Linked DNA regions of Callithrix jacchus. The protein of the gene in region 4 interacts with the protein of the main gene of each other region in a biochemical or structural test. Links are inferred from orthologs where the notes say so. Each region holds a gene or a part of one and is shown on either strand. Other genes may lie near its edges.

Region 1 (5,936 bases), on a different chromosome or scaffold from region 4:
AGAAGCGGAACATGAGAGTGGACATGGAATGTGACCACTGAAGCACAGCGTCACATAGAGACAATTAAGCCCCGGATGTCTGTGGGCCTCCCTGACAGCCGTCAGGCCCACCACAAGAGCTTGGAGGAGCCGAGTTTTCTCCTGACTCCCCAGAGGAAGGAGACATCTTGACCATCTTGAACGTCTCCTTTCCTGGCTGGCTAAACAGCAGGCGCTTTCCCAGCGCCCTCCACCCACCCTTACATGGGCCTGACAGACAGAAAAGCATTAGTAAAAGAACTAAGATCACCTATGAATAACTAAGATCACCTATGAATAACAACTATTGTTATATTCCTTTTTTTTTTTTTTGAGACAGAGTTTCGCTCTTGTTACCCAGGCTGGAGTGCAATGGCGCGATCTTGGCTCACCGCAACCTCCGCCTCCTGGGTTCAGGCAATTCTGCCTCAGCCTCCCGAGTAGCTGGGATTACAGGCACGCGCCACCATGCCCAGCTAATTTTTTGTATTTTTAGTAGAGACGGGGTTTCACCCTGTTGACCAGGATGGTCTCGATCTCTTGACCTCGTGATCCACCCGCCTCGGCCTCCCAAAGTGCTGGGATTACAGGCGTGAGCCACGCGCCCGGCCGGGAATATAAATTAATGACATTTCTGAGGCTTCTGACTCCCCAGAACTTATGGGGTCTACCCCCTACACTAACCCACTACAGGAATTAAAAAGTTTACACCCCAGACTACTTCTGCCTCTCTCACTCCTACATTCCGAGGAGTTGGCAGTTCTTGACATTTAGTGGATGAGGAATAAATGAAACCAGACATGTCTTGTTCCCCTTCCCTCTGCGTAGCCTACAACTCCTATGCATCCCTCAGTGGCCAACTGAAACCTCCCGTCTTCTCTGAGCCCTCAGAGCCCCGCTGTGCTTCTCCTGCTCCTTCCTGGGTTGTAGATTCCCATTTTATGAGTCTCCGCCACGACACTGTAACCCGCAGAGGACAGAGAGCTGGTTTGATATATTCACCTGGCGGAGCCCGGAACCCAGCAGCGTGCTTGAGTATTTCCGAACTAGAGCAATGAATGGTTGTGCTGTGAGCATGCGCAATTGTGTTACTGCCAGGCTTGAGGGGTGTGTGCACGCCTGGAATGGGGTAGGGGAACTTGCACCTCCCTCCCGTCCTCTGCAGCCTCCTTCCCTTCCCCCCAGTAAGCCAGCCAGCCACCCCCACGACGTTACTCTTCTCCGGGGGCCTCAGAGCCCTGCCCATTTGGGGCAGCTTGGACTTGCAGAGACCCATCCCGCCAGCAGCCCTTGGGGTGGTCGCGCCCCGATTCCGGGCAGGCTCTGACCCCTCCTGGCTCGGCTCAACGTCACAAGGGTCCCCGCTCCGGTCATTTTGCGGGAATGACGGGGTCCACCCCTTCTGGGCAGGTAGAGGAAACGAACCCCAAACAGGCCCATAGGGAGCCAAGCGGCAGTTCGACTGGACCCGAGTAGGCCTCAGTTGCTATGGTGACGCGGCCTTCCAAGCCCCAAAGTCCCGAGCGGCATGACGCATGCGCAAAGCGCCTGGGAGCCCGCAAGGAGGACTAGCTTCCTTCTTCCCACCCAGGATGCCCTGCGGTCCTTGGGTGCTGACGTCACGAAGGAGGGCGGTCCCACATTTGATGACCGCACTGTACATAGGAGCATCAGCGACCAAGGCCGGTTATTTGATCTCAGACTCGGCCTTGTTGCGTCTGAAAAGGGGCAGGGGTGGCTCTTTTGAGGTGGCCATAGACGCCGAGGAACATAAGTGACGGCGCATTGAGGTAGCCACAGCCGCTTAGAAGGTTGCCATCGCGACGCGGCCGCTGGAGGGTTTAGCTTCCGGGTTAGGCGGCCGCGGAGGCGTAGACGGAATAACCTGAACGCCTCTTCCGGTTACCCTTTCCCAGTGCCAGAGGCGCCTAGGGTAGGAATCCTCACACGGGGACCGGAACAGAGACCCGACAAGGAACGGCGGCTTCCCCGAGATCGAGGGACGCGCTAGCCAGAGGAGAAGAAAGGAACCCGGGTCGGACCACGGAACCACTGACCATTGCCCATGGCGGCCCTAGTGAGTGTGGATTTGGCGGGGTTCGGGGGTCCCGGCGGCGACCTCGGCGGCACCTTACTCACCGTCCGCTTCCTCTTTCCGCAGGGCCCCAGCAGCCAGAATGTCACTGAATACGTCGTTCGAGTTCCGAAGTAAATCCCCTACCCCATCTCCCACTCCTCTCCACCCCGCAAAAGTGAAAACCTTTACGGTCCTCTTAGCCTGACGTTTCTGGCCCTGTCTGTGGTTCTCCCTCCAGACCGGGGGACTTGGAGGGCAGGGCTGCGATTAAGCTGAGGCTTCTCTGGAGGCAAACACTGCTTTTTGTATGAATGAGTGCATTAATACACAGCACGATTCAGCCTCCTGGCCTAACGTTCGAGAGCATATGATGCCCAGGCTGTCTCGTCCTCTTTCAAAGCGAGCAGGCTGCCTTTCCTTTCCAGGCCTTTGTACATCCCGTTCCCTCTGCCATGAGTGCCTCCCCTCAGCCCCCAAACGGTGACTCTGTTGGGTGAATTCTTGTTGATTCTGCAAAACTCAGCTCCAGTATCATCTTCCTCCAGGAAGCACTCCCTGACTGACCTCCCTCCTCCCCAAGGCTGAGTTCCCAATAATCTCCACATCTTGGGTTTCTCCCAATCTTTGTTCCTCCATTTGTTCTTCGTCTGCACGCAGTTAAGAGGGGATGGGGTCTAGCTTCTCTGGCAGACTGGGATTCCTGCAGTCTTCCGTATCCAGTGTTGACAGGCAAAACAGACTGAATGAACCAGGGTGGGTTTGTTGAGTGACTGAATTAATGATTCAGTGGAATGGAATGCTTGAATTAATGGTTCAGTTGAATGGAACGATCGAATTAATGATTTGATTGAATTAATGATGTGTTCACATTGATTGATTAAATTAATGATTGAATTGAATTGATGTATTGGATTGGCTCTATCTCTTCTAATCCACTCTAGGAATACAACCAAAAAATATAACATCATGGCTTTTAATGCAGCTGATAAAGTCAACTTTGCCACGTGGAATCAGGTAAGTCCCTGGGTCCTGGGGGTCGGGGGCTGGGGTGGTGAGAGAACCTGACCCTGACCTTGGTGGTTGTAATAGTTGCTTAGCTGTCATAGTAACTAAGTCTTAATTTTCTCACTTTTCCCAAGTGGAGATAAGGTAGATGACAAAGAGTTGGGTGCAGTAGTTTGTACCTGTAATCTTAGCACTTGGGAGGCCAAGGCAGGAGGCTTGCCTAAGGCCAGGAGTTCAAGACCAGCCTGGGCAATATAGCAAGACCCTATCTCTACCAAAAATAAAATAATTAGCTGGATGTGGTAGTGTGCATCTGTAGTCCTGCACAGGAGGCTGAGGTAGGAGGATCACTTGACCCCAGGAGTTGAAGGCTGCAGTGAGCTATGATTACACTACTGCACTCCAGCCTGGTGACAGAGTAAGACCTGTCTCAAAAAAAAAAAAAAAAAAAAAAAAAGATGGCAAAGGCCCAGGCCAAGCTCCTGGGTGTCCCTGTAAGTTACGTTTAGTAGGACCACAGGAGGCCATTCCTTAATGGAGAACATTTAGAAGTTGTGCCCACTGATGGCCATTTTTGCCAAGGTTTATCTGGCTGAGGGAGGGGACTGGGCTAGGGCCTTCCCCAGAGCCCCTGCCATCAGAGGCTCTAGAAAGGACTGTGGGAGCCATTAAAGCATCCTCCACGGGGAAGTTGTATTGTGATCTGGCTGCTGTGGGGAGGCAAACTGTGGGTTTGAGGGCGGATAAAGGGAGAACAGGGTGGAAGCAACTGGGCTGACTGGTCTAGGTGAGTCCTGGCCTGGGGATGTGGAGGCCGTGAAGGTGATGAGATGTGGCTGGATTCTAGAGTGTTTTGGAAATGGTACATATGGACCTTGAAGCAAGAGCTTAAGGGTAATTGGGACCTTATTGGCCACATAGGTCATGATTAATGGTTACATTTTAGAGATTTTGGTGTCTTACTGTCAACAAGTTTGGCACAATGAATTTCTTTTTATTTATTTAAATTTATTTTTTTGTGATGGTGTTTCACTTTTGTTGCCCAGGATGGAGTGCAATGGCACGACCTCAGCTCACTGCAACCTTCAACTCCCAGGTTCAAGCCATTCTCTTGCCTTAGTCTCTCATGTAGCTGGGATTACAGGTGCCCACCCCCACTCCCACCTAATTTTTGTATTTTTGGTAGAGATGGGGTTACACCATGTTGGTCAGACTGGTCTCGAACTCCTGACCTCAGGTGATCCACCCACCTTGGCCTCTGAAAGTGCTGGGATTACAGGTGTGAGCCACTGTGCCTGACCTTTTTATTTTCTTTCTTTCTTTTTTTCTTTTTTTTTTTGAGACGGAGTTTTGCTCTTGTTACCCAGGCTGGAGTGCAGCGCGATCTCGGCTCACCGCAACCTCCGCCTCCTGGGTTCAGGCAATTCTCCTGCCTCAGCCTCATGAGTAGCTGGGATTACAGGCACGTGCCACCGTGCCCAGCTAATTTTTTGCATTTTTAGTAGAGACGGGGTTTCACCATGTTGACCAGGATGGTCTCAATCTCTTGACCTCGTGATCCACCCGCCTCGGCCTCCCAAAGTGCTGGGATTACAGGCTTGAGCCACCGCGCCCGGTCGCTTTATTTTCTTTCTTTATTTTTTTGAGATGGAGTCTTGCTCTGTTGCCCAGGCTAGAGTGAAGTGGTGTGATCTGTGCTCACTGCAACCTCTGCCTCCTGGGTTCAAGCAATTCTCCTGCCTCAGCCTCCTGAGTAGCTGGGATTACAAATGTGTGCCACCACACCCAGCTAATTTTTGTATTTTTAGTAGAGACAAGGTTTCACCATGTTGGTTAGGCTGGTCTTGAACTCCTGACCTCATTATCTGTCTGCCTCAGCCTAATAGAGGTAGGGTCTCACTATATTGCCCAGGCTGGTCTTTTTTTAAATGTTTTTTAAAGACAGAGTGTCACTCTGTCACCCATGCTGGTGTACACTGGCATGATCTCAGCTCACTGCAACTTTTGCCTCCCTGCGGTTCAAGCCATTCTGGTGCCAGGCTAGTCTTAAACTCCTGAGCTCAGGTGAGCCTGGGCCTCCCAAAGTGCTGGGATTATAGGCGTGAGCCACAGCACAACGAGTTTTGATAGGCATGCGTTCTGGAGATGTGTAGAAATTCTAGTTACACGATTTTTGAAAAGGAGCCTGGAACCAGATGCCTGCTGTAGATATTAGGGAAGTCTGATCACTTCTAAATTCCTCAGGTCTGGAATTTGGCCTCTGATGGCCTGCTTGAGCACCAGGTGGTCTTTTTTGTTTGTTTGTTTTTTGTTTTTGAGACAGAGTCTTGCTCTGTCACGAGGCTGGAGTACAGTGGCGCCATCTTGGTTCACTGCAAACCTCCGCCTCCTGAGTTCAGGTGATTCTCCTGCCTCAGCTTCCTGAGTAGCTGGGACTATAGGCGCCCGCCACCATGCCTGGATAATTTTTCTATTTGCAGAAGAGATAGAGTTTTACCATGTTAGCCAGGATGGTCTCGATCTCTTGACCTCATAAACCGCCTGCCTCGTCCTCCCAAAGTGCTGAGATTACAGGCCTGAGCCACTGCGCCCAGCCAGGTCTTTTTCTCTTTAATTTTAATTTGGAAATAATCTCAAGCTTTCAAGTTGCAAAAATAGACAGAGTACAAGGCTGGCCCAAATTCCCTTTACCCAGATTCACCAAGGGCCAACATTCTCCTCCTTTATTGGCCAGGGGGAAGCTGGTTTTGAGCATCTAGAGCTCAGCCTAGCACAAGGAAGGGCATTCCCAGATGGGGGCACCGCCCAAGCACAGCCAGGGACCCTGAGGCTTTGC
Region 2 (5,369 bases), on a different chromosome or scaffold from region 4:
TGCCTTTCTCTTTTTCCGTTTTTTTTCTTTTGAGATGGAGTTTTGTGCTGTTTCTGTTGCCCAGGCTGGAATGCAGTGGTGCAATCTCAGCTCACTGCAACCTCCGCCTCGCGGGTTCAATTGATTATCGTGGCTCAGCCTCCTGAATAGCTGGGACTACAGGCGCATGCCACCATGCCCGGCTAATTTTTGTATTTTTAGTAGAGACAAGATTTCTCTGTGTTGGCCAGCTGGTCTCAAACTCCTGACCTCAGGTGATCCACCCGCCTCCGCCTCCCAAAATGCTGGGATTACAGGTGTGAGCCACCGCGTCCGGCCTAATATGCCTTATTCTTGGCCCCCATCCCATGCACTAATCTTAAACCATGGACTCTGGGAAGAAGACTGACTGTCTATCATTCTACCCGGCACATTGTCGGTGCTGGAGTAAATATTTGAATGAATATAGATACAGGAATTTCAAAAAGAGAAATAAGATTACCAAATAATTTTCAATCCTGGTAGAACCTTTAAAACCTCTGCTTCAATTGGCTTTGTCACCAGCAACATTTTAGCACTAAAATGCAGATTTTAATAGTAAATGCCGTTCAGATTCAGGTTGTAACAGTTAAGTCAGTAAACTTTCGTTTCTCAAACTAGGTCACTGCTTGAGTTTTAAAAATAAACTGGAATTGAGTGGTCTGTTTTTATGGACCTTCTTAGTGGTATTCTCCACCACCCCGCATCCTCTTAGCTGCCTTGTTAGTCGTAAGCACACCCTGTTCACTCCGCATGAGTACGCTGAGTCTCTGTGACGTGCACACAGGCACTGCAACAGGAGCATGTGGGTTAGATGAAGAGCAAGGCATGTAAATAACGGATTATAATATAGTAAGAGCTACCATGGAAGAATGTGCAGTGTGAAATGTGAATCCGAGGTAAGGCTGTTAGAGAAAGTCACGTTTGAGCCTAGTCTTAAAGCATGAGGAAAGGAGATAAACATTACAAGGAAGGGAAATAGCATATGGAAAAACCCAGAAGCAGGTACGGAAATGGGAAGTGTGTGTAAGGGGGAGTGCTGGAAGATGAGGCCCAGGGAAGAAGGCCGACCTGAGTGGATGCCTGCGAAGGCGTTTGGAATTCAATGTGCAGGCCAAAGGGGGAAGTCACTGAAACATTTTAGACAGAGGAAGGACATGCTGTCTCTGTTTGCTGTCCATGTCTTCTTCCCTTTAGAGATTTTTTTTCTTGTTTTTCCCTATCATCACTACTGCTTTCTCTGCTAATGCTTTGTACCTGCTTCCCTGCCAAGATAATTTATTTATTTGATTACAGTAAAATGGTCTTGGCCGGGTGTGGTGGCTCAGGCCGATAATCCCAGCACTTTGGGAGGCTAGATGGGTGGATTGCCTAAGGTCGGTAGTTTGAGACCAGCCTGGCCAACATGGTAAAACCTCGTCTCTACTAAAAATACAAAAATTAGCCAGGTGTGGTGGCACATGCCTGTAATCCTAGGTACTGGGGAGGCTGAGGCAGGAGAATCCCTGGAACCCAGGAGGCAGAGGTTGCAATGAGCTGAGATCGCACCACTGCACTCCCCCCTGGGCAATAACAGCAAAACGCTGTCTCAAAAAAAAGAAAAAGGTCTTAGATTGCAGTTTAGAACATCCTACAAATCAGGAAGTTTGTGTGTCCCCTACCCCCTAGTCACAGTAGATTGTGACCGTGATTGCATTTTGTTGCTTGAAAAATTGACAGACCAGGATTATCTCATTCCATTTTTACTGTTACACGGAAAAAAGAATGACACCTTCTTGTATAAAAATAATTCCTTATATTCTACCAGTTTACCAGAATGAGCGTGAACATGAGAGCAACTGAATTTGTACTCTTAATACGTTCTCAGTATTCTGTGTTTAACCCTTTTTAGGCTTTTCATTTTCTGGGCCTAGATTATAAATGGGCCCTCGAGACTTGAAGTCAGGAGAGGTCTTCTCTGTGGGGCTACCACAGTGCTCCTGGAGGTGGCTTTTCGCTTTTGACCCTGTGCATCCACAGTGTGTGGCTGGTTGTGCGGCACCGTCTTAGCCAGTCTCACAATAAAACATTCTTTGGAATTTTACAAAGATGTCCTTCTTGGCACCTAAACAGAGAATCATTTGTCTCCAACCGATCATTTTCCATTTGTAAACCCTGCTCAATTAGAAAATCGTTTATGAATAGTGTCCTGTTTTTTAAATGTAATTTGAAAAACTGCTGTTGCCGGTGGCAGACTTGCATTTTATATTACCTGGATGTTTCAAGCCTTTATGCTTACTCATTCACACGGGTCTGCTAGTGAAGCCAACCGCAGGTGTGGGAGGCAGGCAAGCCTCAGGGGAACCCAGGGCTCCTTTGGTCCATTGCTGCCACCTGCTGGGGCCGGCTGATGGAATGGGAAGGCTGCCCAACAGCGAGCTAAGCCATCCTGAATGAACCTCAACCTCTGTGTAGTTCCAGTACTAGCCAGCTTTTGTGTTTCTAGGTGACAGTCTACCCCTGACTTCCAGTACTTTCTAGGTGACAGTCTACCCCTGACTTCCAGTACTTTCTAGGTGACAGTCTACCCCTGACTTCCAGTACTTTCTAGGTGACAGTCTACCCCTGACCAAAAGGACACTGTGAACTCTAGAGCGTTATGTCAGTCACTGTAAAGTGGTGTCACATTATGTTGGTGACACCTCATCTCCAGCAGTGATGAGGCCCTGAGAATGAAAACACACTAAGGACTCAAAGATCCTAGAGTTTCAGAGCTGGAAGAACCGTAAACCAGATGCAGTATGTAGTCACATGAGTCACCTAGGCACTTGTTAAAATGCAGGTTCCTGGGCCTAGCCCCAAAGACTTTGATTCGGTAGACCCAACATGTGTCTTATTTAACTGGCTTCCCACAAGGTTCTGATACAGGTCGTCTAGCATCACTGCAGAAGAGAAGAAAACTCCTGAGATATCCAGGCAAGAGCTTCTCAGCCGTTGTTCTTATTAATGCCTCGTTTCAATCAATAAGAAAAGTTATCTTTCATCAATGGGATGAGTCATCACCATACTGCAGCTGGTTCTTTGAAGCAGACGCACACAAAATAATTAACTTTCCTTCCTTCTCTAAGAAGGAAATCTGTACTTTGTATTGGGCAGCTTATTGTGGAATGCTTTTTGGCCTTGAGCATTGGCAAGCAAAGGTGGAGTTTCATATTACACTTAACATAGCCATTATTTCCATGACTGCATTAATCATTTAGTAAATGTTTGTTGAATTTTTAGGGACCTAAAACACCATCATACAGATTCTTTTCTTTGTAGAAGTAAAACACAAAGCTGCATCCCCGATAGTTTTTGAAGATGTCTTACTATCCCTTCTTTGTTGTCGTTGTTGAAATAGAGTTTGGTTCTTGTTGCCCAGGCTGGAGTGCAGTCTGGCTGACTGCACCCTCTGCATCCTGGATTCAAGCGATTCTCCTGCCTCAGCCTCCCTAGTAGTGGAGACAGGGTTTCACCATGTTGGCCAGGCTGGTCTCAAACTCCTGACCTCAGGTGATCCGCCCACCTCGGCCTCCCAAAGTGCTGGGATCACAGGCATGAGCCACCGTGCCCAACCTGATTATCACTTCTTGTTCCCTTCTCTGTGTGGCAAGCTTGGCTAAAGTACAAATAGCAGTAAATACAAATGACAAAAAATAAGTGGCCTAATAACAAATTTGAGAACTCACCTTAGAACTGAGGTTTCTGAATACCTGTCGTATGCCTGCTTGATAGAATATTCTCAGAAATGTTAGTCATTTTTTATGTATGCTGTTGCTCCCTGAAACTGCTGGTTTCAATCTGACTGTAAACTGAGTCCTTGAGGCTGCTGAGCTCAACGGCAGATTACACTTGGTGTACTGTGTCACACTGAGTGAGGACCAGTAATATTTTCATGTGTTTCAGCTAATGTTTTTTGTGTTTGTTTTAGCTTTTAAGTCATTGGCATTCAGGACTTTTATCCCCTTTAATGCAAATGATTATATAGTTAGTGCAGTGATCATATCACACATGTGGAATCAAAAGGCAGTTTACTTATAGATCAATCTTGCTGAGCTTTTAGGAGCATTTTTTTTTTTGAGATAGAGTCTCGCTCTGTCTCCAGGCACCAGGCTGCAGTGCAGTGGCGCGATCTCGGCTCACTGCAACCTCCGCCTCCCAGATTCAAGCAGTTCTCCTGCCTCAGCCTCCCGAGTAGCTGGGAGCATAGTTTTTATGACTTGCATACGTGCTTTGGCATAGCATCTTATTTTAAGTTTTGTTTGCTGCCTTTATAATCTCATTTATTAGGGTTTTTTTGTTTCTGCTTTAGGTGTACCTGAAGGAAATCTTAAAAGAAATTGGAGTTCAGAATGTAAAAGGGATCCACAAAAACACGTGGGAGCTGAAGCCAGAGTACAGACACTATCAAGGAGAAGAAAAGAGTGACTGAGGTGCCTCCCGGCCTGCATGCCAGTGAGACCACTAGCAGTATGCTGAGCAAAAGGCGCTTGAACACCGTATGTTAACAGGGGTGAAGCGACGACCCTACTTTCATTTCTCTCAGTAAATTTTTTAAACCTGTAATTCTTGTAAAGTTTCTTAACTGGTTTCTTTTATTTTGTTTTGTTTTGAGAAGAAAGAACAAATTTATTTATAGACTTCACTTGTATTAAACCAGATTATTCACAATGGGAATAGGGGTTAGAGGATTAAGAGGGTTTTTCTTAAGTATTAGCTTTTAAACATGTACAGTTAGGAAATGTTTTTTAAATGAGGGCTCTCTAACCTTCCTGTTATCTTTGAGGAGCTGAGGTAATGCAGATCCAAGGAGGATTGTATAGCAAAAAAGAAAAAGGCAGTCAGCTGTAGAAACTCATAGAAGGAATAAAAAGCCAAAGTTCCTTACTTAAAAATTGTCAAAGAACGACGCGGTGTTTTTCTTGTAAACAGGTGGTCGTGTTTCGTGTTCGTACTCAGTGTTAATAAAAGGAGAGCATGTAAGCTTGTAGTGAAATGGCAGTTTTCATGATTAGCCTGTTTTACCGTAGTGATACTGAAATGAGAAATATGCAGAATCGTGGTCAGTTGATGTTTCTTTTATTTGCTTTTAAGAAAATTAGAAATTAGGCTGGCTCATGCCTGTAATCCCAGCACTTTGGGAGGCCGAGGAGGGCAGATCACCTGAGGTCAGGAGTTTGAGACCAGCCTGGCTAGCATGGTGAAACCCCATCCCTGCTAAAAATACAAAAACCAGCCAAGTATAGTGGTGGGCTCCTGTAATCCCAGTTACTCAGGAGGCTGAGGCAGTAGGATCACTTGAATCTGGGAGGCAGAGGTTGCAGTGAGCCAAG
Region 3 (5,978 bases), on a different chromosome or scaffold from region 4:
TGACTTGGCCACACTAATCGTCCCCCTCCCGCAGCAATACGAAGACTTACTACTGTTTTATTAATGATTATTGAAGCGTTGTTTGTAGTTTTGAACAGTCAGGTGATTTTTTTAAAAAAAGAAGAAGAAGAAGGAAAAATTGGATTGATTGGAAAGTTTATTTTTAAAATCATCTTTGGGATAAATAGGAACCCTTGACTCCGATCGAATTTGTGCCAATAACTGCAAATTCCAGGAGTGTGCTTTGTCGTCATTAAACCTTTTAAACCAAGATATACTTTGGATCAAAATATAGGGAGATCCTACCTGTTTCTTAAAAGGATAGAAAATGAGCAGAATCCAGACTTGGATTGTGCTTATATGTGAGAGAAGAAAACAATCCAAATCCAGCATATTTCACGAATCATTAAAATGGTGGGGGTTTCATCCCCATTAAAAATTTTTTCCAAACATTTTCAATGATACTCTCTCCACGCTCATAAAATCTAATTTTTAAAACTTTTCAAAAGAAATCAAAATAATTTCCTTCTAATTCTTTTACCCATCGCTAGGCGTTCTCCCCCTAGTCATCCCTTCCCCCTCTGGGGTGTGTGCGTGCGTGTGTGTGTGTGTGTGTGTGACCATAGACGACCCATACTAATCAGGTCTCAGAGTAAATAGCAGCGCAGGACGATCTCAATGTAAATTGCGCTTGTCAGAAACACACCCCCCTCTCTCACTTTCTCTCCTCCTCCCCACACCATCCCAGTCTGTAGGTAGCTAAGAGGGAAGGGGGGGGAAAAAGAAAGAAAGCAAAAGAGGAGGGGGGAGGGGCTCTCCAACCAATGGCGTGCGGGAGGCTTGGCTAACCTTAGCCTCCCATTTTCTCTCCCCCCCGATTCAGGGCTCTGACCAGTCAGTCGCCTTTGATTATCAGTTGCCAGCAGCCCTTCTCTTGGCTCCTTGACACGAGCTCCATATAAGGCAGCGATCTCCATAGAAACGTGTCAGTTTCAATAGTAGTGTCAAAGTTCACTATATACAGACATTCGCGCAGATCCCCCTTTCGGAAACATTGCTCTGCGAGTCCACCCGTTTAAACGCATTCAATTTTTGGGTCTCTCCTCTCTCTCTCTCTCTCTCTCTCTCTCTCTCTCTCTCTCTCTCTCTCTCTCTCTCTCTCCCCCCTCTCCTCTCTCCTCTCTTTCTCCCCCCTCTCTTTCCCTCCTCTCTTCTCTCTGTCTCCTGTCTTCTCTGAACCTCTCTTCTCTCTCTCCTTCCTCTTTTCTTACATATTTTACTAGTTGTTTTCCCCTTCTTCTCCTTCTTTCTTTTCTTTTTCTCCCTCCTCCTTGTGTCTTTTACTCCATTCCTGCAGAAGAGAGAGGGCTAAACTTAAAGAAAAAAAAGGAGGAGGAGGAGGAGGCACCCCCTTCGTATTCTTCTTATCGTTATTTTATACATATATGATTTTTTTTGGAGGGAGGGTGTTGGTTCCCGGCTGAAGAGCACTTATTTAAAATACTAAAAAAAGAACATTTTTGGGCGATCTCCAGGGTTTTTTTAACTAGCTCTGTGTGTTATAGCAGAAGAAGCCGAAGAAGGAGCAAGAAAGAGGAAAAGAAGAGGATTATTTATTCGACCTACTTTGGATGTCTCTCTCGCTTTTCCTTTTTCCTTTTTTTTTTTTTTTTTTTTTGGCAATTATTTTCTTCTGATTTTTATTTTTTCTATTTCGCTGTGAATTCGTCGCCGGCGTGAATTATCCCGTATTTTTCTCCCCCTTCCGTCACCTCCCGAAAGAAGAAGGCAGCGAGAGCCCGGCGCCACCGGTACAACAAAAAGAGCAAAGTGTGTGATCTTCCTCGCCGGTTGCCTCCCGCTCTCCAGCGCTGCCTTCCTGAATGGCTGGCTGCGTCCGGCCCTGGACCTGGCCCCCCGACACCCGCGCGCCCTGATCGCCGCCGGCAGCCTCGCCCAGCGCCCTGCTTGGCTCACCGCGCTCCCCACACTCCTGAGCCCGGCGAGGGCTCCCGCCGGGACAGCGGCGGCGGCGCGGGCGGCCCCGGCCTCCGCTCGCGCTCCGGCTGCGGCCCCGACTCCTGCTCGGACTCCGGCCCGGGCCCCGGCTCCTCCAGCGGCGCTCGCCGCAGCAGCTCCGGCGGCAGCTCCAGCGGCGCCTGCAGCCGCGACCTCCGCCTCCTCCTCCGCCGCCGCCGCCTCCGCCCTCGCCGGCTTCCTCTATGTCGGCTCAGCCCGCGCGCTGCGCGTAGCCCGAGCGGCCGGCGGGCGGGCGGGCGCCCGGCGCGGGTGAGCGAGTGTGTGTGCGAGTGTGTGTGTGCGCGGGGGTGCGGGCGAGGCGGAGGGCGAGTGTGTGCGCGCGCCGTGGCCCATGCCCGCCGCCCCCGGCGCTGCGCCCCGCGCCGCTCCCGGCTGCCGCCTGTGCCATTTCTGATTTTGCAACTTGGGGAAGAAGAAAAAAGCGAGAGAAGGGAGCTTGCTCGCCGGGGGGTGGGGAGGGGGGGAAGGAGAGCGCGGCCCCCCCAGGAACGGAGCGCGGGGGGAGCGGGCGAGGGGAGCAGGGGTGTTGGGGGGGGAGCCTGAGAGCCTGGGGGGGCTGCAAAAAGAGAGAAAGAAAACAGCAGGAACCACAACAAAACGCCAGCAGGGCGGGCGGGCGCGCAGCAGCAGCGGGGCGGCCGAGGCAGTAGCGGCGGCAGCGGCGGCGGCGGCGGAGGCAGCGGCCGGTGCCCGGCTCGGGCTCGGCTCCTGCGACCCCGGGGCGCCCGGCGGGCCCCCCGCCCCCTCCCCCTCCCCCCTTCCCCTTCCCTTTCCCCTCCCAGCGCGCCCGCGCGCCCCGCGGCCCTCGGCGAGCAGCTCGGCTCCCCCCAGCGCTCCCCGGGCCCAAAGATATGGCAATGGTAGTTAGCAGCTGGCGAGATCCGCAGGACGACGTGGCCGGGGGCAACCCCGGCGGCCCCAACCCCGCAGCGCAGGCGGCCCGCGGCGGCGGCGGCGGCGCCGGCGAGCAGCAGCAGCAGGCGGGCTCGGGCGCGCCGCACACGCCGCAGACCCCGGGCCAGCCCGGAGCGCCCGCCACCCCCGGCACGGCGGGGGACAAGGGCCAGGGCCCGCCCGGTTCGGGCCAGAGCCAGCAGCACATCGAGTGCGTGGTGTGCGGGGACAAGTCGAGCGGCAAGCACTACGGCCAATTCACCTGCGAGGGCTGCAAAAGTTTCTTCAAGAGGAGCGTCCGCAGGAACTTAACTTACACATGCCGTGCCAACAGGAACTGTCCCATCGACCAGCATCACCGCAACCAGTGCCAATACTGCCGCCTCAAGAAGTGCCTCAAAGTGGGCATGAGGCGGGAAGGTGAATATTTCTTCTCTGCTTCTCTCCCCGCGCTTCGCTCTCCTCCCTGGCTCGCTCTTTCTTTCTCGCCCGGGTGGTTGCTGTGTGGGGCTGGGGCTCGTGTGGTCCCGGCCGGTCCCAGCTTCCCTTCTCCCCGCTGCCTTCCTCCCCCGGCGTCTCCCCCCCTCCCCAGCTCTCTGCCGCTGCCTCCCCCTCCCGGCCTGCGCTCCTCTCCCCGGCTCCCCCACCCCGCCCGCTGCCTGCTCAGGATTGTGTCCCTGGGATCGTGAGCTGTGGCTTAAAATCCCCTTCTTCCCTCTGTCTTGGATGTGCTCGATGTGTGTCTCCCGCGTGTGCGTGAGGCTGCTTGGGGCTGTGCTGGCATGAACTTGGGGAGGGGTGCTTATTTCCTCCAGAAAACTCTGTTTCTGTGTTTTTTCATTCCACTTTTCCCTCCACCTCTTCATACCCTTTATTTAAAATGGGGGAGGGCTGGGGGCTGGAGTACCCTGAACCATAGATTCATTGCTGCCATCATCCTTTTGGAAGCTTAGCTTGGAAAAAGAGGAGTGAGATTTATTGCACTTGTAGGTCTAATTAGGGGGGAAGGGGGGCTTCTGGCCCGTTCACTGGTTCCCTCTCTTCTTCACGGAGCTGGGGCCGCCTCCTCCAGAGCTGTGGCCTTGTTTTCACCCCTCTACTTTGAAAGGAAAGTTTGTGACTGAACCGTGCTTTCATAGTTCTGTCATTTTTTTTAAAGCATGATACTCGTTTTATTTCTTCATCAAACTCCACCCTCTCCTTAAATACTGCATACAAATTACAATTTACAACGGCATTTACCGATCCTTCTGATTTGGCCATAATGCATAGACTGCAGCTGGCATGAGCTTCCACATCATTTAATCCCTGTGTTGTATGGGTTTGTGTTTTTTTTTAAAAAAAAAACACAACTTTTGATGTTGTATTTGGATCTGCTTCATGTTCATGTGGCAAGAGATGCAGTACTTTTCTTATAAATATATTTTGCCGTTTACAGTTAAAGTTTATCTCTTGACAATCATTAAAGATGTCTTATAGTCAAATTAGAGAACCAGTCAATTTTGCAGAATGCAGATTACTCTTTCTTGTAATTGACTTTAAAATTATATTTTATATGCCAGAAGAAAAGAAATTGAATTCCTTCAGATCTGAAGGAGCAGGCAAATATGACTACTTCATTTCTAGCTCCAGGGAGATTTTGCAGGCATCTGGAAAAAAAAAAAAAAAAAACTTTAAATTGTACTCTCACTTAATTGAAAAATAACTGCCAAGTTCAAAACTATAATTAGAAAAAAGTATTCTAGCCATTATGTTTCAAGAGCTTAAGTTGCACTGGAACTTGTATTAAAATTAGAATCAAAGCAAACTTAAGAAAATAGGGCAAAACCTGAAATAAGACAGCTACATGTACATGAACATAGCTGTATTAATTTGTTGGGGGGAGAGTTCAGTAGCCCTAACTTTTCCTAAAGTTGTCTTTGTTTACATGGCAATTTAAAACGCTGGCACTGTTGAAGTAAAACATACACATTAAAAAAAAAAAAAAAAAACTTTGGTCAGCTTTAAGAACTCAAAGCATGCTTACGTTTTGCATTCAGATGGTTAATGAATCCAGTGTTTTTGCAGTTGAAAGCTCGTGCATTCACTGGGCAAAAGCTGGCTGCAGGTTGCAGTGGCACCGCACAGGACAGACATTAATTATATTTCCCACTTTTTTCAATAATGTTTGGCTACTGTAAGTTCAATTTTTTTCTTGAAAATTTTCAATTTTCTGTTGCTTTTAATAGTGAGAACTTTGTATGAGGCGACGGGGAGGAGGGGAGAAGGGAGGGGTGCAGGATACTTGTTCTCTACTCAAAAGTTGTAAGTGGTTAGTAGGATATGCAACTTGTGTCTATTTTAAGAATCATTCTATAGCATTTTAAGAGAATATGGAAACATTTTATCAGCAAAACGCTCCTTGCTTGCAAATGAGGAGGCCTCTAGGCATTTGCCTAGAACCACAACCTTCCTCCGGTTTCGCCTTTTATTTAATCCCTGATTTTTTTTTTTTTTTTAATTCTGAAGGGGTGACTGAGGTTTCATTTATCTTAGTGTTCCTCCTTGGTGGCTTAGGGGTTGGGTGGCACTTTCTTGGCCTTGCCAGGGTGGGGACCCTGGAGTCAGGCCTAGTTCCGGCGGGGCTGAGGTGGCCAGGGGCTCAGGCGATGGACACATCGAGCTACGGAGCTGGAGGGCCTCACCCCAGATCTCCTCGCGGTGTGGACTGTGAGAGCGAGCCAGAGAAGATGCGCAGGGCGCGTGTGGCTGCGGGAAGAGCTTCTGCATTGTGTTGGGTACGCTGCGGCGCGGCAATGTTCGCAAGCCCCCTGGATGCACATTGCCTCTTTTCTCTCTTTCTTTTTGTCAGCGGTTCAGCGAGGAAGAATGCCTCCAACCCAGCCCAATCCAGGCCAGTACGCACTCACCAACGGGGACCCCCTCAACGGCCACTGCTACCTGTCCGGCTACATCTCGCTGCTGCTGCGCGCCGAGCCCTACCCCACGTCGCGCTACGGCAGCCAGTGCATGCAGCCCAACAACATTATGGGCATCGAGAACAT
Region 4 (6,153 bases):
ATTAGAAGTAGAGTCCTTAGCATTTTTTCGGTGTAATTATATCCAACTACAGAAACCCCAAACCAACAAAAGAACTCCATCCTAAATATTCTGTCCCTCTAGAACCACTCCTGTACCAAAATCTGTATTAGTTAGGGTTGACTAAAAGCAGAACTAAATATATATACACACATATATATATACATATATATGTGTGTATATATATGTGAGTTTATCATTAACTTACACGAACAGAAGTTCCCACAATAGGCTGTTTGCAAGCTTGAGGAGCAAGGAGAGCCAATCCAAGTCTCATAACTCTATTTTAATACAAAAAAAAAATCCTTACAAGTTTATGACAGATAAGAGAACTTCAGGTGAGGCAGGAGTTAATTTACCCAGTAGCGCTGCCTCCCTTTTCTTGGGTTTCAGTCTCTCACTTCAACAAACATTACTGAATACCCACCATGCATCCACTAGGTGCAGGTTCCATAGTTTGGGTCATCGAGAGATGCGCAGTTGTTTTATTCCTCCTCTTCTACCAGGCTAAGATGCTTTAGCATGAAACCAATACTGGATTGAGGTGCAGCACTCCCAAGCCCTTTCCTGGTTGCAACTTGACACAGGTGAAAGGGGTTGGCATTTTTCAAACTTTCCTAAATATGGAGGTAGGAAAAAAAACCCACAAGAGTATAGTCAAGTTTTTTAAATTACAGAATTACAAAATAGAAGACTGGGTTGGGGAAAGAAAAAAGAAATCATGCTCCCCGGTTCCCACCTACATTTCAGTTCCTAAAATCCTGCCTCTAGCAACCCTTTTCCTTTCTAAGGAAGCTAGTATCTCCTCCTTCTCAAGAAAACAATGAGTGCTCGATGACATTTAAATCTTATCCCCAGATGAAGGAAGCAGTCACTATCTTCTAAGTTCTCTTCCCCATGAAAACCACCAAGCACTCTCTCTCTCTCTACCAATCCCCGTATTTTCAAGAATACTTTTCAGCAAAGTGTTGAGGCAGAATAGGTCTGGAGGCAGAGACAAAGGCTGATTCACACTGATTTCCTAGAACTAAATCAAAAGGAAAACCCTAACTTTCAACACCTGAGTAACGAAAGAACCAGCGGCTACTTCCTTTGCAACTCCCCCCACCACACGCACACTTTTTTCTATGTGGCAGACGGAAAATTGAAAGAGACTCTTCAGGTGGAGGAGGAGTTAATTTAACCAGTAGTGCTGCCTCCGTTTTCTAGGGTTTCAATTTCTCCCTTCTGCAACCAGAGATACTTTCAATTTTCTGTCTGCCACAACTCCTGGGCTCAAGCAGTTTGCATAGGAGTGTAACTTTGTGATTTCACTTTAGCCTCTCATTGGTTGCTTTCCACAACCAATCAGACTGATTGTGGCACCACTACTTCATTTAAACTATACCAAGTAACTTAATGGGAAACCGCTAGAGGGTATTTAAACCCCAGAAACATTCTAATGGGACTCTTGAGCCTGTATACTCTGTTCGCTCCCACCCTGTGGAGTGTATTTTCGTTTTCAATAAATTTCTGCCTTTATTGCTTCATTCTTTCCCTGCTTTGTGCGTTTTGTCTAGTTCTTTGTTCATAAACGCCAAGAACCTGGACACCCTCCACCACTAACCGTGTTATTGTTGTTAGTAGCAGTATTATTACTTTTTTGACATTAGTTTGGCTAATTAATCTAGGGATATTTTACAGTATCTAGATGTTCTGCCAAGTTTACTATACGTAGCTATCAGCAAAATTTGCAAAGGCAATGAAAAAACAAAATGATCAGAATAGCCCATAGCTTCATGCCTGTCGTACACACATTGCTCTCACATAGTTTTGTTTCATCTCCCAATTCTAAAAGGGTATGCAAGGCAAGATACTATAACCCAGATAAACCTAAGTAACCTATGTAAAGGACGTGCCTAAGAAGACAGCATGCTTGCTGATGACAGAGCCTGAACAGACACCTGTTCTGGATGACCTAAGTGAATTCTTTTTTTATTCCAAATTCCTTAGAAAGAATCACCCTTGGGGCACGTAGGAACTGGCTCTAGAGCTCCAATAGCCAGCTAAAACGGCGCCTAAAAAAAAAAAAAGAGAGAGAGAGAGAGAGAACTGGCTCAAATGGGAGCGCATGACGCGGGGTGGGTGGTAGCGGTGAGAAAGTGGGAGAGGAACGGGTGGTTAGACTTTTAGGGATGCAGGCTTTGGCATCACTATGAAGCCAGGGTTTTCTTCTGACAGGGTTTTAACTCTGTCAGATTGAGAGTAGCTCTGTTGTAGCCCCTTTGCAGGGTTCCCATGAGACTTTTCTTACCTTGACTCTCTTAGCAACATAGCAAACTACAGAAACAGAATAAGAACGTAAGAAATCGTGAAGCACGTGATGTATAGGACTCTGACTGTTCTTGGCCCTTCTCCCGACCCGTAGCCCCGCCCTGTTACGACTGCGTGGGTTGTCTATAAAGATTCATCTCTGCGCGTCTTTCCGCCACATTCGCTTCCTGTTTTCGGTGGTTCTGTTTTGGCTTGTTCCGGGCACCGCAGTGGCAGTGAAGATGGCGTCTACCAGCCGGTTAGTGTGTTTGTCCGAGCCCGGCGAACTAAGGGGCGGTGCCTCGGGCTTTTAGGCGGTCTCCGGGCAGCCTCATCGGGCTGAGCGCCTAAGGATATGGGAGAGAAGCGGCGGGACTGGCGGACCGGCCGGGACAAAGGCACTTCCAGACAGCAGGACTGTCGGGGTGTCGCAGGGGTTACCCAGCTATCGACGTTATTGCCCCGGCGTCCTGTGTCTTCTGTAGGCACCACCCTTTGTGGGTCCTGGTGGGCTTCTGTGTCCCCAGCCCTTGCCCTCGTGTCTTTTCCGAGTATTTCGATCTGCTTTTCTCTTTTTCTCCCCCTACGCTTGTTTTTTCATCTACGACCCAAACAATCAGGGGTCCACAATTTTCTCCTTTTCAAAGGGACGGGAAACAGTTCTAGACCCTTATCGGTCTGACAGCTAGGAAGTTGGGAACGTCAGCATTGGTAAGCCGGATGGAACCAGGTTACCATCGCAGCAGGCCTGGGAAGTGGAAGCTAGAGCCATCGAGAGTTGATTAGTTGCTTGCTAAAGGGTTTGTTTACAAATGTCGTTGCCTGTGTACTTCTGAAGAAAATCTTGTCTAAGAAAATTAGTTATACGTACTGGGAGGTCGTTCTGTAGTATATAGTTAAGAATGCAATGTACTCATATCTACAGGAAATGCATGTAGTATCTTCAGAAACAGCCTTTAATCTTGTGACCTGAAAAATGCTTTCAGACCCTAATTATATTTCTTATTACCACTATGAGGTAGATATTAGTATTTTTGCATAAGTGTAAACTGAGTCATGCCAATGTTGGCTTTTCCAAGGGTAGTGTTAGAGTGTAGAGTCTAAGATACCTGTTTCCTGTTATCCACACTTGGCCTCTGATTAACTAATGTTGTATTGAAAGTATCAAATGAGTTCTACAGCTTCCGGAACTCTGGCACTGTTTTTCTGACCCTGCCGTCGTCTGTGGAATTGGTTAATTTCATAGTGAAAGCCATTTTCACAGAATAATTAAACCTTTTCTGGTAACTGCCAATATTTTTTTTGTGTGTGGTTAGAAAAAAAGAGTTTGGGGTGGGAGGCAGCTTTAGCTAATGTACTGTTCGGATAGAGAACCCTTAAAGCCAGTGACACACTTTGCTGATTTTGATTCTTTGATTGGATACTCATTCTATCTGGGTGGTGTTCTGTCAGGTAAGGCCTCCTTGTAGGTAAATGGAAAACTTTAGCTTCCCCAAATCACTCAAATACGACTTAAGTTCTATCGTGGCTTTTTTTTTTAAGTCTGAAATTTTTTCTAGATATCTGCAATTTGTGTCATTGCAGTTCCAGTTTTTCTACCAGTGACAACAAAGTGTTAAATGTATTTTTCTTTTCATTTTTTGGAGGAGTCTCTTGCTCTTTCGCCTGGACTGAAATGCAAGTGGTACAATCATGGCTCACTGGAGCGGTGACCGCCCCAGTTCAAGTGATCCTCCCACCTCAACCTCCTGAGTAGCTGGGACTATAGGCGCACACCACCGTGCCTGGCTCATCTTTTTATTTTAAAATTTTATTAATTTTTATTTTTGTAGAGACAAGGCCTCATTAGGCTGCCCAGGCTGGTCTCGAACTCCTGGGCTCAAGCAGTCCTCTGGCCTTGGGCTACCAAAGTGCTGCAATAACAGGCATGAGACACCGTGCCTAGCCTAAATGTTGTATTTCTGCCTTTTGCATGTTTTTCCCTCGGGAAGATCTACTGACTAGACTATGAAACTGGCTGGTGTCCTCACCAAAGAGTACAAATGTGCATTCAAATGTAAGCTCCACCACTTACTATGACTTCGGCAAATCATTCTCTGAGCAAAATCTTTAAAATGGAAAATAGTGCCTTTCTTGCAGGATTGTTATGGAGATTGACAGTAATGTATAACACCCGTCATATAGTGCATCCCCAATAAATGATAGCTATAAATGGAGTTGGGGATTATCTGGTACTTTAGTAGTCTTATTTTAATGTCAGTGGTGGTGGTTTCTCTATTCCTTCCCTATTCTCTGTTACTATGTCCACCACCTGATTTGTATGGTTCCTCTTTTGTATTGTGGGTAATTGGATTAAAAGTTTACTAATTTAGCATACTTTTATTTTGATAGGTAAAACATACAAATCGTCCAAAAGCAAAAGCACGAAAGACTAAAATCATGAAAAGTAGTCTCCCTCGTTTCTTGGCTCCCAGCCATCTAAGTCTCCCCTGATCATAGTTACTAGTTTCTTGGTGTTTTCCTAGTACTTAAGCTTTAAAAAACAAACACAAATAGTTCTAACTGCTCTTCTCCCGAAAAGTGTCCTAATTTAAACTCTCTTCACTACCTTGCTTTTACCTTTTTTTTTTTTTTTTTTTTAATGATGTTAGGGCACAGATTTTAAAAGTGGGCAGCTCAGTTACAAAGTGAGCACATATATAAAGCTAGTACTCGGGTAAGGAAATCAGATACTGCTAGCACTAGCTAAGACACTAGCAAAGTCTCTCTCCTCAGTCATTCCTCCTCCTTAGAGAAAACCACATCCTGATTTCTAACACCATAAATTTGTTTTGGCTGCTTTAAAGTTGGCATAAATGGCATTTTATTCTGCTCTCTAGTACCTGTCAGCATGTTGAGGTTCATCCATGTTATTGTGTATAGCTAATTCACACTTTTTCAGTTTTGTATAGGTTTTCTACTTTACTGTTCTTATCTTTGAGATGATTCTATATTGTTAACACAAACTACAGAGTTTTCTCTCTACTTTTTAATAGTGCAGAGATAATTCTATCAGTTCTTAGGTACTGTGTTTCACATGGCTTCCTCTTTTACTAATTTGTAATTACTGTTAACTCTGCTAACATTTTCCTTTATTTCAACATAGTTTTTCATAATTTATATCAACTTTAATTTTATTTGTCACAATTTATTAAAATACCTTCCTAACAGGAATTTATGGAATAAGCACAAACACGAAGTAATACTCACCTCGTTTTCCCATGAGAAGATTCAAGACCTATTCTGGTTAAGCTGACTAGAAAAGTTTGGGGAAGAATATGGATCATTTTATCAGTTTTCCCATAGATATCACATTCTAAGTTGAGAGTTAACATTCTGAATTGTATTTGCTAGCATAAGAAACTTTAGCCCAAACCACAAATACTATTTACATACTATAAGAACAGTTGATTTTGTCTTTTAGATTTATCTGATGTCCATCCATAACTTAACCATTTATTGTATTATTTCAAATGATTTTTTTTTTTTTTTTTTGAAACAGAGTTTCGCTTGTTGCCCAGGCTGGAGTGCAATGGTGCAACCTCAGCTCACCACAATCTCTGCCTCCTGGGTTCAAGCAGTTCTCCTGCCTCAGCCTCCTGAGTAGCTGGGATTACAGGTGTGCACCACCACGCCCAGCTAATTTTTTTATTTTTAGTAGATACAGGGTTTCACCATGTTGACCAGGATGGTCTTGATCTCTTGACCTTGTGATCTGCCCACCTCAGCCTCCCAAAGTGCTGGGATTACAGGCATGAGCCACTGTGCCTGGCCTCTTCAAATGATTTTTAAAGGGCCTCATTT
Region 5 (5,832 bases), on a different chromosome or scaffold from region 4:
TGGAGTGCAGTGGCGCAAGCTTGGCTCACTGCAACCTCTGCCTCATGGGTTCAAGTGATCCTCCTGCCACAGCCTCCCGAGTAGCTGGGACTACAGGCATGCAACACCACACCCACATAATTTTGGAATTTTTAGTAAAGACAGGGTTTCACCATCTTGGCCAGGCTCCACAGGATAATTTTTAACAGAGACATCCCATTCAACTATTTCAATGGGGAATCATATTCTGTTGTTAATACTAGTTTCAACTGACCTTTTTATTTGAAATCAGTGGTTATCAACCCTAACAGATTTAATATCCTTTTTATAAGAAATATTTTGATATCCACAGTACCACACTACAAGGAAACTCTACACACCAATCTATAATCAATCTATGCACATATTTTGGGAGGAAAATATAAGGCCCATCTTGCAACATAGGAAAATTAAAAGAAAATATGTACTTTTGGTTATGAATACTCAGGTACGACTATATTCAATAAGATACAGCAAAGTAGCACCTAGATACAAATCTGTGAACCTAGAGCACTTCCTGTTACCCCAGGGCTTAAGGATGCCTGGCAAGTGCCTGGGCTCAACACCAAAGTAGTACCACAGCATACTACTGGACACACTTTTTCTCCTTTTCAGTTTGATCTATACATTGTACTTGAACCCAGTTTTGTTTTTTATTGTTTTACATCTTCAACAGTTGTCAGAACACAACATATGGCTTCAGAAACATTCAACGAAGAATGGCAGAAAAATGTCAACATAACCTGTTTACAGGATTATTTCCTACTATTGTATTCTCCTTACCCGCCCATACATGCCATGCCGCAGATTAAATTCTCAAGCCTGGTTGTAAGGCACAATCATCTAGGGAACATTTTAAGAATACTGACACTGGGCCCTATTCCCAAAGATTTTGTCTCAGGTGACCTGGAGGGGCCAGATTAGGCATCACACAATTTCTTAAAGCTCTTTAGGTGACTCTGCTATGTGAAAGTGCCTACTATATATCCTGCCAATGCCCATCCTGCATGGAGAGGGCCCTGTACCAGTTAATGCTGAGCCTGTTTCCTTTGCCTAAAACACCCTAGGAAGCCATGAGGACTAAAGGGAGTGAGTCAAGGATTCTACAATCCAACAGTTTTGGAGTTTAAATCCCAGTTCCAGCATTTCTTAGCCCCCCCTGACCCCAGAAAATTCTCAGACTCAGTTTCTTCATATATAAAAAGTAAGCAGGTCAGGTGCAGTGGCTAATGCCTGTAACTGCACACCTTGGGAGGCCAAGGTGGGAGGACTGTTTGAGCCCAGAAGTTCAAGACCAGTCCAGGCAACAGAGTAAGACCCCATGTCTCCAAAAATTTAAAAACTTAGACGGGTATGATGCCATGTACCTGTAGTACCAGTTGAGGTAGATCAACTGAGCCAGGAGGTCAAGGCTGCATTGACCCATAATTTTGCCACTGCACTCCAGCCTAGGTGACAGGGCATGACCCTAAAAAAAAAAAAGAGTGATTAACGGTGCCCTGTTCATACAGTTAATGTGTGAACTCAGTGAGATAATTAATGCAAAGTGTTCTACCATCAGGGCTGGCATAAGAGTTCAATGAAGTATTGGTATTTGTAATAAATCCCCTATTTAGAAAAGTGACTCTTATAGCAGCATGAGGAATGGACTCAAGTGAGTGAAGGTGGAGGCACTGTGGAAGTATTGGGGGTATAGTAAGAAAACCTAAACTAAGGAAGAAGGCAAAAAATTGCAAGAAGAGAACAGAATGAATGAGTTATTACAGAAAAAAAGTCAAAAGGACCCAACAAAATATACTGCATACAGAGTATGAGAGTAGGAAAAATCTTAAATAGCTCTGTTTTGAGCCAGCATACCTAGGAAGGGAAAAGTACTGACATGAGTAATAGGTGACACCTGACGAGGAGCAGATTTGGAAGAAATAAGGAAATCACTTTTAGAAGTGTCTCTGAGGAAATACCATAGGATATTCCTCTGAATATTCCCAGCAGGTAGCAGAACAAATGAAAACTAGAGCTCAGGAATGAAATGAAGCTGTGCCGCCTTGTTCAAAATCTCCGCATTCTGAAATCCTCCTTCCTGACCACTGCTTTCTCTCCTCCACCACCTCCCACTCACGCTGAATCTCCTTACTCAATCTCTAGATGTCTTAGGTAAGAGTTCTCAAACTGGCAGCCCCCCACGCATTGTTTCACCCAAAGAACGTTTCAAAAATTTTCTGAATTAGTTGTCAACATTAAAATATTTTAAGAGCTCACATACATTTCAACTTCCAGCTCCTCTTGAAAAATTGAAAATATCTGAGGAAAAATAAAACCCATGTTCCGACATGAAAACAATAAGCTGAAGCCGAATAGCAGCTGGCATTATTAGGGAAGGAGTTTGGCTGGTCTCTGGAGACTTGTGAGTATGGGACCACCCAGGACCTTTGTTTCTTCCTTTGATCTTCACAGTCCATGAGTCATCTCCCAGCCTCACGTCCCTACCCCAGTCCAGACCCTCGTGTATTTTAATCATATAAACATTTAAGGACTACTGTGCATCAACCAGGCACGGAGCTACAGAAACAAAGTTGAAAAGAATGCACCCTCTGCCCTCTGTCTACCCTGTCAGCCTCATATCCAGCCACACTAGCATATTCTCAATTCCATAAGCCACATGTGCTTTCCCTACTTCCCAGGCCTTTGCACATGCTGTTCCTTCTGCCCCTACAGCTAAGCCCAAACTCCCTTCTCTTAATCATCCTTCAAGTCTCAAAAAACATTTCCTCATAGAGGCAGGTCTTCCCAGACTCCCCATAGTAGCATACAAGTATCCCCTTTCACATGTTCCATGGCTCTTTCCCCTTCTTGTACTTTCTCCGTCTCTATACCTAAGACCAGACTTTATCTTGTTCAGCAATTAATTTCCAGCCTCTAGCATAGCCAGACAAGCCCTTCCATAAAACTTTCCATATGTCTCCTAGGCACGTGTTGTTCCAACATGGCTCATTTTGCCAGCTTCCCCGCACTTCATTTCCTCCACACTCTTGCTTCCACAGCAGAATCAGACAGGCTATTTATTGGACACTCTCTTCTTAGATTTAAAATAGTTTTAAGCGGGAGGTGAGTGGATCAAATTCCCGATGTTAAAAGGCTGCGCTGACTGCATAGTGGAGAACAAAACGAGAAAAGAGTGGATGCGGAGAGTATAGTTAGGTTACTTCAGTATACCACTACTCCAGTTCTAGAACAACTTTGATTCTACACATCTAACTGCGGTTTTCTGTTACTATATTTCATGGCACTTTGCACGCCTTCACACACATAGCGGCAGACTACCGCGAAACCTTAGGATCCAACTGCCCTACATGAGACGCGTTCGGTGATGTGCACGCCTCCCCAGTGCGAGACTGCGAGACCCCAAGACCCCAAACTCCCTCAGACTCTCCCAGTTGGGTCCAGGGCCACACTCGAGGCAGCCAAGCCCGGCCTAACCGAGGTCGCACACGGGCCGCTCCGGGTCAACGGTTCTTTAGAGGACCAAGGCAAGAGGGTAACTCATTAGGGGAGGATAATTAAGAGGGTGCGAAAGGAAGGAGAAATCATAAAATGCAATGCCCGGCCAGGGAACTCCGAACAAGGAACAGGGAACAAGGTTTACCAAAGCGAATCCTCGAACACTCCCACTACAGCCGCCCTCAGAGCTTCAACTACCGGCTTAAATGAGCCACGCCCTTGTGCGACAAAGAAAACGCATCTTTTCTGCGACTAGCTTTGGAAAACACCCCGATACCTTTTACCACACCAGCCAATCAGCTCAGTGAAGCCTTCGATCAGGCGAGTCACGCTACTAGCGGCCAATGAAATTGAAGGCTCTGTCCTCCATGCCCAACTCTGATTGGCTTATAATCCCGGAACAGGCGTTAACCCAGAGAAGGCAGTGGCAAGATGGCCTCCCTGGATCGAGTGAAGGTACTGGTGTTGGGAGACTCAGGTGAGAGGCTAAACTCATGTCTGGGACTCCAGACACTTTTGACTTATCCAATAACCCTCCCCTTAACTTTCTTCCCTCAATTTCCTGGCTCTTCGGCACGGGTCTGAAGTCCCTCCCAAGGCCTGAAGACTACACTTCCCAGAGGACTTTGCTCCGTGTGACGACGAGGCAGCGGCGGCGCGCGGGAGGGGGTCGCGGAGCTTGGGCCTTCTGCCTTCGCGGCTTTCCACATCGGTTTCCCAGGCGACACCAACCTAGCGTGTATTTTCAATTTAAAAAAAAAAAAAAAAGGCAGGCATTGTGTATTGCATCCGGTTCTGTGTTAAGGCTACAGAAGTTAGTAGAACAAAAAGTTAGAGATTTTGTTCATTAAGGAAGTCAAACGTTCATTGAGAAACGTGCACTGGCAAGCGCTTGGCATACGCTAACTCATTTAATTCTGAGGTCAGTCCTATTACCCATTTTACAGGTGAGAGTAGTGAGGCAGAGAGATGTAAATGACAGAATCCTTTTGAACACAGAGTCTACATACTTAGACGCTAAACTATAATTATGCAATGAAATACTGGGTAATGGTCCTGTTTTATTGTTAACTGAGCTTTTTATTTCCTTGTTTGGTCTTCATTGAAAACCTATTACTAGAGAAAGTAAAGAGTTTTATTCTGAAGCAGCAAGGATTTAATGCTGAGCCCAGTTTAATCCTAGCGTTAAAATTCTTTTTTCTTTTTATTTTTTTCTTTTATTTATTTTTTTTAATGAGTCCAAAAGTAACCGTTTACTGGTTACTAAAGGACTCTCTTTTTTATTTTTTAATCTCAATGGATGCAACCTGAGGTCGGGAGTTCAAGACCAGCCTGACCAACATGGTAAAACCCCCTCTTAAAAACATAAATGAAAGAAAGAAGGAAGGAAGGAAGGAAGGGAGGAAGGGAGGGAGGGAGGGAGGGAGGGAGGGAGGGAATTCTTTTGACACCTGGGACATTTGAGAACTACAGCTGACGCTGACATCTGCATTTCCAGCTCCCACCTCACTGCCCTTATCTTTTCCTCCATAATTCAAATAATTCAACTCCTTAAGAACTTCAATAAAATGCTAACTTTGCATTTTATGGATGTGCGGTTCTAGAGTTGGCCTAAGAGCGTGTGTTGTGAGCAAAGACATTGTGCTAGATGCTTGGAGGTGGAGAGGCCTAAAAACTACTCTTACAGAAACTAAATAAAATTGTGGCAGGCAAAGATATATTAAGGATGTTTTCACATTGCCCTGAATATTATTTACATTATGAAATATTTTACAGAGAGAATTATTTAATATTCCCCTAAGAAAGTTGCCTTTGAAACTCTATGAACATAACCACAATTTATGTCAACTTCATTTCTTTGTCAGGTAGCTTGAAGTGGTGCCAAAGTTAATTTAATAAAATCACTCAGTTTTACAGATAAAAAAAGTAATGGTGGCCTAAAGGGACTTGGCAAGAGTATTACCAAGTAGAATTTAAGACTGGAATTGAGAACTAACAGACTTCTTCATGATGTGTGAAGTGGGTGTTTTCTGTCCTCTATAATTCCATTTTCTGTTGTATCTAACAATCCCTTCATATTACAAACTGCTGCAACTAGTCAATTTATTTTCTTTCCAACATGCACTGTTTTAGGTTCTGGGGTTATAACTCTGGAATTAATGCATTATATAACAGGGGTAGGATTAGCTGCTACATTAAATGTGGAAAAGTAACCAGGCAATTAGTAAGCTTTCCCACTACCGCCCTTCCCCTTATGGTTTAGTTGTAAAGCAGAAGACACAGCTATGACAGCCAGGAAAGTGATTGATGTTGTCA

The links.
Region 1: the proteins of GTF2B (region 4) and GTF2F1 form a complex in vitro, tested with the Homo sapiens proteins (3 studies listed by BioGRID and IntAct). The link is inferred for Callithrix jacchus from reciprocal best matches to the Homo sapiens genes GTF2B and GTF2F1.
Region 2: the proteins of GTF2B (region 4) and GTF2F2 form a complex in vitro, tested with the Homo sapiens proteins (2 studies listed by BioGRID and IntAct). The link is inferred for Callithrix jacchus from reciprocal best matches to the Homo sapiens genes GTF2B and GTF2F2.
Region 3: the proteins of GTF2B (region 4) and NR2F1 form a complex in vitro, tested with the Homo sapiens proteins (2 studies listed by BioGRID and IntAct). The link is inferred for Callithrix jacchus from reciprocal best matches to the Homo sapiens genes GTF2B and NR2F1.
Region 5: the proteins of GTF2B (region 4) and GTF2E1 form a complex in vitro, tested with the Homo sapiens proteins (2 studies listed by BioGRID). The link is inferred for Callithrix jacchus from reciprocal best matches to the Homo sapiens genes GTF2B and GTF2E1.

Annotation. Positions count from the first base shown.
Region 1 is NC_133523.1:6,029,996-6,035,931, reverse strand, and holds the start of GTF2F1 (general transcription factor IIF subunit 1), read left to right. Parts: upstream 1-1,929; 5' UTR 1,930-2,083; coding exon 2,084-2,095; intron 2,096-2,179; coding exon 2,180-2,226; intron 2,227-3,036; coding exon 3,037-3,109; intron 3,110-5,936. UniProt on the Homo sapiens protein: TFIIF is a general transcription initiation factor that binds to RNA polymerase II and helps to recruit it to the initiation complex in collaboration with TFIIB. It promotes transcription elongation.
Region 2 is NC_133506.1:164,481,203-164,486,571, forward strand, and holds the end of GTF2F2 (general transcription factor IIF subunit 2), read left to right. Parts: intron 1-4,348; coding exon 4,349-4,468; 3' UTR 4,469-4,872; downstream 4,873-5,369. UniProt on the Homo sapiens protein: TFIIF is a general transcription initiation factor that binds to RNA polymerase II and helps to recruit it to the initiation complex in collaboration with TFIIB.
Region 3 is NC_133503.1:117,071,727-117,077,704, reverse strand, and holds the start of NR2F1 (COUP transcription factor 1), read left to right. Parts: upstream 1-2,423; 5' UTR 2,424-2,891; coding exon 2,892-3,354; intron 3,355-3,579; exon of another isoform or gene 3,580-3,686; intron 3,687-5,001; exon of another isoform or gene 5,002-5,097; coding exon of another isoform or gene 5,098-5,110; intron 5,111-5,785; coding exon 5,786-5,978. UniProt on the Homo sapiens protein: Coup (chicken ovalbumin upstream promoter) transcription factor binds to the ovalbumin promoter and, in conjunction with another protein (S300-II) stimulates initiation of transcription. Binds to both direct repeats and palindromes of the 5'-AGGTCA-3' motif.
Region 4 is NC_133508.1:126,116,583-126,122,735, reverse strand, and holds the start of GTF2B (transcription initiation factor IIB), read left to right. Parts: upstream 1-2,484; 5' UTR 2,485-2,552; coding exon 2,553-2,569; exon of another isoform or gene 2,570-4,352; coding exon of another isoform or gene 4,353-4,366; intron 4,367-6,153. UniProt on the Homo sapiens protein: General transcription factor that plays a role in transcription initiation by RNA polymerase II (Pol II). Involved in the pre-initiation complex (PIC) formation and Pol II recruitment at promoter DNA.
Region 5 is NC_133516.1:82,239,678-82,245,509, forward strand, and holds the start of GTF2E1 (general transcription factor IIE subunit 1), read right to left. Parts: upstream 3,713-5,832; 5' UTR 3,662-3,712; intron 1,487-3,661; 5' UTR 1,386-1,486; intron 1-1,385. Other genes in the region: RABL3 (rab-like protein 3), read left to right, coding at 3,949-3,994.